Linked DNA regions of Mus musculus: region 1 is reported to be linked to region 2. The links are microRNA targets in miRTarBase. Many come from high-throughput screens and were not tested one by one. Region 2 holds a microRNA gene; the other region holds the end of a gene's coding sequence.

Region 1 (3,408 bases), not on the chromosome of region 2:
CTGCTAAGGGTTCCGGCTGCCAAGGCACTAGGTTACATTCTTGGCTGCTCACCCTAGAGTTTTTACTCCATTCTCTGTGGTGGAGAGGAAACTGGCACACAAAGCCTCATGTGCCTGTTGTCACTGTTAACAGAGTCACTGGGTCAGTGTTGACTCCCCTCCCCCAAGCCAGTGTCTCATGAGGCCAGTTCCAATCACAGGGAGATTGTGTCACTGGTGAAATCTAACATGGAGCCTTTTGAAAACAGATGCAGCCCCTGTCTCTCGTTATAACTCCTCCCAAGGACAGGGATGTCCCGCACAGCCTGTTGTGCTCTGTAGTCTTGTAATCACTTCTGTGCTTGGCTTTTGCAGATGTGAAAGCTGTGGAGCTGTCTTCCATTCTGAGTGCAAAGAAAAGTCTGTCCCCTGCCCACGGTGTGTCCGACGGGAACTGCAGAAGAAGCAGAAGTCCTTCTGGCGGCAGCTGAACGTGGACGAGAGCCTGGAGGAGGCATGCGCCATGTTCGAGCTGTCCTACCAAAGCACCTGACTGTAGGCCAGGATGCACTCTCCACCGCCCAAGGGGCTGCCCGTGCCCATGCAGATGAGGCTGTTCCTTCTTCAGCTAGATGTAGATAGATAAGTTATTTATTTATATTATATACACCTATACGTCCTGTACGTATGATGCTTTGTATAACTCATTGTCCAAGAAGTTCACAAAGATCTTGTGGATGAACTCCTACAGATAGCTGAGTTACCCTTGGCCATGACATTTGCTGCTTGCTCCCAGCAAATGTGATTGACACACATTGCTCTGTAGTTCAGACCCCTTCATACACACTGGCTCTCAGGGCCAGTTGACTGCACAAGTATTGGAGGAAACACCTCTCACAGCAAAGCTTTGCATTGCTACTGACATTTAGCCTTTGCTGGGGAAACTGAGGTAGAGCCATTGTCATCTGCTTCACAAGGACATCCCTAAAACACAAGAATGTTTCTGGATACTTCCAGGCCCAGAGTCTTTGGCAGAGATGGGAAGAGTGAAGCAGAGCCACATAGCAGAAAGCGAGAGGCCCCTTCCTTCAACAGAGAGCATCAGGAACTGAGCTGCGTTGGGTGTGAACTCAGTCCCTGAGAGAGAGTACAGAAAGCGAGGACCTCAGTGGCCAGTCACTTCATGTCGTTGTCTGTTGGCTGGTACGAAGCCCAGCACCTTCCTGATGATCAGAGTCTACAATGCCTGCCAGAGAGTGCACATGGGTGCCCTAAGAACAGTTCCAAGCGTGGAATGGAGGACACTGGTCATGTTTTTCACGGTGCTGCCCAGGAGGAAGTGTCCCAGGATTGCACTCAAGCGCATCAGTGCATAGTCTGCTAGGTAGAGTTTACTGCACGCATCTTGGAGGACCGGATGTTTCCTTCCCCAGAGCCCTCCATCGGCAGGACCCACCTGTCGTTTGAATGTTTTATTTCTCCTTGTCCTTCACAGCACTTTTGACCTTTATTCAGTCCGCGTAACTACTCTTGCTTTTGTATCCTGGATGTTTTGTTTGTTTGGGATGGGGACATATTTTAAGACAGGGTCCTGCTATATATCCCTGGCTGGCCTCTAACCTGTGACCCTGCTGCCTCATCCTCCAAATGCTGGGACTATAGGTATGCACCATCATACCTGGCTTTACTTGTTTTTAATTATTTTTAAAAAATATTTAAAAGTAAAAATTATGTAATTATTAAAAGTTATTAAGAAGTAACATTTTGAAAAATACAAACCTAAACTATTAAGAAAATACCAAACATAAATAGAATTAATGAATTAATATTATCGAAATAAGTAGATATATACATATATAATTGCCACCTTACAGTAACACAAAGAGTAACTAGCGTGGTAGGAATGGGAAGTGGATCACTTCGCTCTTTGGAGGGTAGTGTACTCCCACTGTGATCCCCTTCCTTGTAAGAGCCTGCATAGTTGTCACTGTGACCAAGATGGCTGCTAGGAAGGCACTGAGACCCTGGCGGCCAGCATTCCTTCTTCCTTAACTCTTTCCAAGGCAGGAGAATGGACTCACCAGGAAGTACTTGTTTGTGTCTTTCACCTGGAGCTGGTGTTGCCCACTGCCGCCCATGCTTCTGTCCTTTGGGATTTTCACTGCTGTTCAGATCAGGGGAAACACTGGCTCACAGAGAACGCAGGGGTTCAACTCCAAGTTGCTCCCACAGGCACCAGCTCTCGATGCTTCAGTCTAGTGGGAGACATTCAGCTGACTTGTGCAGTTAGAGGCAAGCATTTCACCTCTTGGCCCACACCATTTCCTTTGGCCCCAGACCATGCAGTTGAACGCCACACGTGTGTTCATTTCCTAGCTACCCGGAAGCTATAGCCAAGGCATGAAACTTGGTAAAAGGCCAGGGCCCTATTTACCAGACACCTCACGGTGCCTTTTATAAACTCTTGGGAAGGCAGGTTGACCTCACTGGAATGAGTGGTAGGGAATGTTGCGCATAAAGGACAAAGGTGGGAAGTCTCAAACACTTGGCAAAACAGACAAACAGATTTGAGTCTCTCTCTTCCTCCTCTTGTTCATGAAATACAGTATTTATATTTTCCAGCCTCAGAGAACAGAACATGATCTTTCACTGGAGAATTCTAGACCTGCTTATTATGAAACAGATGTGCTCCCGTGGCACAGTGCCTTCTCCCTCCACCCCCAGTCCCTGTCACCGTAGCTTACTCTTGACCTTTGCTGAAACTAATGTATCTGTGATTCTGACTGTCAGAGACGCCATTCCCAGCACACTGAGCACAGAGACTTGAAGAACAGAGCCCCCGACCCCAGGTTGGCCCCATGTCCTGCCCCAACTCACAGGTGCCCAAGATTAGACCTAATAAAAGCCGAGGGTGAAATCTGGATCCCTGTTTAGCACACCTGAGTTGTCTGTCCCCACTGCCCCTTAGAGGGCCTTGCTGTGTGTGAGCGGACCTTGGACACTCCTAAGACCTTTCCCTGGACATTGCTTCGTGTTTATTTTTTAAAGGGAAAGATAAGCATGCTGTCACTCATGATCTGGAATTGGAGCCATGTCCTGCTACTTCTGTTTTCACTATGGTCCATGCCCGCTCAGGACTCACAACAGCGTTCTCTGCCACCACCACCGGAATCTGATAGGACACCGTGGAGCCAGATCAGGAGTTGGATCTGCCATGAAAATTCAAAATTGCTATTTTCAGCCCAGAATGTCTCAGAGTGCATGAAGGCCCTTACTGTTTTCAGGTCTAACAAATGACTTGGTGCAGTGTTAGGTAGTTGTTCCACTGCTTAGAAACCATCGAAACAAAAGCAAGCCTGTGCATTTCCACCTCCTTTTTTTTCATCTCAGTAAATACCATACACGTAAAGCATAATGGAAAACGGTCCA
Region 2 (3,408 bases):
TACTCAAATGTCCCATGGTTCCTCTGGGACAGGCACTTCCCCCTCTGTCTAAACAGCCCTGGGTACTGTCCTCTTGAATTCTAGCTGGCCTTCAAACTCAGGGAACAGTGAGATCCACTCAGACATCTCTCACAGAAATGAAGACTCATTCCCCTCCCAGAAGTCTCAGCAAACATCTCCCTGTGGGCTAAGGTCTCATCTAGGAATCAATAATGTCTGGTCAACTGGTTCCTTTGACACTGTGTTGTGGAGGAGGGAGGAGGGAGCAGGAGCCAACCAACCCAAACCCATTCTCATTAAGAAAGGTCAGAGGACCATTCAAGAAGGGAGATAAACTCACACAACCCAGGCTCACTACATAGACTACTTTCCTAGACTAACATGGCTTCCCTGAAGTCAGTAAGTAGTTGAACCCCCGAAGTCTTCAACGTAGAATAGGATGCTGAAAAAGAAGTGCACCGCGAATGTTTCGTCACATATAAAGCGAAAAACACGCGGGCAACTTCTCATTAAGCACCGTACGTCAGCAGCATGGAACCCTGTGTACCACTTGTGTACCGCTGTCGTCACTTCCTGTGGCTTGAGTACCGCTGTCGTCACTTCCTGTGCGTGAGCAGGCGATCACGCTGCAGCCCCGCTGTACCTAGGGGGCTCTCACAGCTGTGCCCGCTCCACGCAGGCAGAATCAGGATCTTGTAGACAGGCTTTGGATTGGTCATCCTTTGGGGAGGTCTTTGGAGTCTCCTCAAACATCAGAGAATGATATAATAATCCTGACTTTGCTTCCCAAAGTCCAGCTCTGGATCCGTGACAAGAGAGGAGGTGGGTCCCGTGACCTCTCAGTCGAGGTCACCACCCATCTGCTAGAGGGGAGGACATCAACCTATGTTCCACGGTGGAGGCCCTGATGCAAGGAGGTTATCATGAAATGGGAAACAAAAAGATATCTGAGCCTTTGTCAGAACGAGACAATGTCTCCTGGACAAAAATATATGTAAGTGGCATGTGGTGTTCTGAGAACAGATTCTGTTGACCCTCCACTTGCTGGGAAATGGAACATTGAGATTAAAAAAAAAAAAGAACATGAATAAAGATAGACTTCTTAGGTGTTCCAGGTAGATAGTTGGTTGCCTATGCTTGTACACATGTTCTCTCCCTCATGACATGGCTACAGGGCACCTCCCCACCCTTCATTGGCTTGACCAATGAAACATGAGCAGAATCACAGTAGTTCCTAATCTCAGTCGGAGAGTTCCTACTTACTTTCTATGTCTCTGCCATGGCTGCAAGAACCACTTGCCAGGAGCCTGGAGGAGGGGCAAGGAAGCCACCTTCACCCCCAGGGTAGCAATACATCAGGAGGTCGTCCTAGGTATGGAAGGCATACTCAGCATTAGTAAAGAAGGACACACATGAAAATATAATATATTCTTTCAGACAGAACACCATGACATACCTTTTCCATTGATGAGGACTCTGGTGTCCTTCCCTAAGGAGATGTCATATCTGAAATACATCTCCTAGTCAGGTACTTGTGCTGGGAAGCAGCCAATGATTTGAATCCTCAGAAGACAAGCAAAATTGAACAGACATGGAGATGAGCAAGAACAACGAAGCCTATGCCATAAGTGACAGATGTGGGCTTGATGCTGGGCTAGAGAGACCTGTCACTCACCCACCAGGAGAAATGTGCCCCAGCTTGGGATATAGCTTCACATTCAGGGGATCCTCCAGGATGGCGTTGTTTACTGCAAAGATACAGGATCATAAAATGAAAGTCACGCCCATGGTAGCCCCCCCCCAACACACACACACACACACACACACACACTCTCTCTCTTGAACACATATATGTACACACACAAGCAGAAAAAGGATCCCCCTTAAAAGCTAACTCTGCTTGAAATATTTTAGTTTCACGCTGGCCTCAACCCCACCAACATCTTCTTCATAGCTGCCGTGTGCACCAAGGTGTCTTCCCACAGATGGTCTGGGTGTTGGTGGATAGTAAAACGGGTGACCTACAGCATAAATGAAGTGTACGTCACCGGTCTACCATCCACACAGCTACCCCGAGAACAGTGGGCATCATTGTCCCTTCAGTCACGATGCTGGCACGTCCTTATAGCTACTGTGAGGAGGACCTTGCTGAAAAGCCATCACACACCAAGAGTCACCTCACAGTCCAAAGCCATAGGGAGTAGCCTCAGGCCACCACGGGGACCCTGTCCCTTCTTCAAATGACTTTCCTTCCAGGGCTGAGTCCTGATGCCATACTCCCATGTCCCATGTCCCAGAGTCCAGGGAACAGCAGTCCAGGTCCCTTCCCTGAAGGCGTCATCAGGGACAGGGAGTGCCCCCAGGGTGGGATTTGATACTAAAAAAGAGGTTTCCCGTGTATGTTTCATCATAAATAAAGAGAAGACAACACGGACAACCTCTCCTTCAAGTATCAATTAGCACTGGTCAGAAAGCAAACAAAGGCAGCTGGAAAGTGCCAGGTGCCTTGTCAGAAGTGTCTGCTTCTGTGGGCCCTGGAGAGCAACCAAAACCCCTGTGCAATTTGACAGTCCACAGAATTGCCTGAGACTATTTACCAACAACACAGACCACCTGCATTCCTTATCTCTCCAGGTTTAGGGGGGGTCACTGAAGGGAACCAGGGACCCCAGAAATTGTGCCTCAGGAGATAACAGGGGAATAGTAGCTCTCAACTTCAACAAGTACAGTACATTGGGGGTGTTCAGGAATGAGCCTCGGATTCTGGTTCCAAGAGGTAGGTGGGTGATGAGAAGCGACCCAGCCCTCTGGTTGTGAGTCTGGGTAGTTTCCAGGGAAGGTAAGATTCTAAAAGCAGACACATTATAAAGTTAGTAGGAAGGTAAATGTGTGCCAGCACATGTGGTAGTATAAAGAAGCAGCAGGCAGGGGCAGGCAGTTCCACCCCCTGGTCGAGTGGTTCTCAACCTTCCTAGTGCTGTGACCCTTTAATATACTTCCTCATGTTGGGTAATCCCCAACTGTAAAATTATTTTCAATGTTACTTCATAACTGTGATTTTGCTACTGTTATAAATCATAATGTAGATATCTGATATGAAATGCCTATGAAAAGGGCTCATGATTTGCAGATGAGAATTGTGTTCTACCTGGAACCCCACAGAAAGCTCTACTGCTGACCACAACCCTGGGTGGAGTTAAGGACTAAGAACAGATTTCACATCTTTTGTTTATTTGTTTGTTTGTTTGGTTGGTTGGTTGGTTTGGTTTTTTTCGAGACAGGGTTTCTCTGTATAGCCCTGGCTGTCCTGGAACTCATTCTGTAGACCAAGCTGGCCTCGAACTCAGAAATCCACCTGCCTCTGCCTCCCAAGTGCTGGGATTAAAGGCGTGCGCCACCACTGCCCCG

Evidence for each region. The annotated mature microRNA mmu-miR-1193-5p reads UGGUAGACCGGUGACGUACA and lies in region 2 at 2,039-2,058, opposite strand. An mRNA with a match to its seed (bases 2 to 7 or 8) in the 3' UTR can be bound and repressed. Matches are read on the target gene's strand: a 7mer-m8 pairs with bases 2 to 8, a 7mer-A1 pairs with bases 2 to 7 and ends in A, and an 8mer does both.
Region 1: miRTarBase lists Plekhm3 as a target of mmu-miR-1193-5p. The part of its 3' UTR that is shown has no 7-base or 8-base seed match.

What each region holds. Positions count from the first base shown.
Region 1 is chr1:64,792,161-64,795,568 of GRCm38, reverse strand. It overlaps Plekhm3 (pleckstrin homology domain containing, family M, member 3), which reads left to right. Exons shown (of 8, transcript NM_001039493.1): 8 at 355-3,408. The coding sequence ends at 532. Among named protein-coding and RNA genes, the nearest start is that of Fzd5, 56 kb to the right of the region's middle.
Region 2 is chr12:109,714,366-109,717,773 of GRCm38, reverse strand. Mir1193 (microRNA 1193) reads right to left here and starts at 2,103; the gene lies at 1,983-2,103. It overlaps Mir494 (microRNA 494), which reads right to left and starts at 2,456; the gene lies at 2,372-2,456. It overlaps Mir679 (microRNA 679), which reads right to left and starts at 2,197; the gene lies at 2,124-2,197. Mir666 (microRNA 666) reads right to left here and starts at 689; the gene lies at 591-689. It also overlaps Mir543.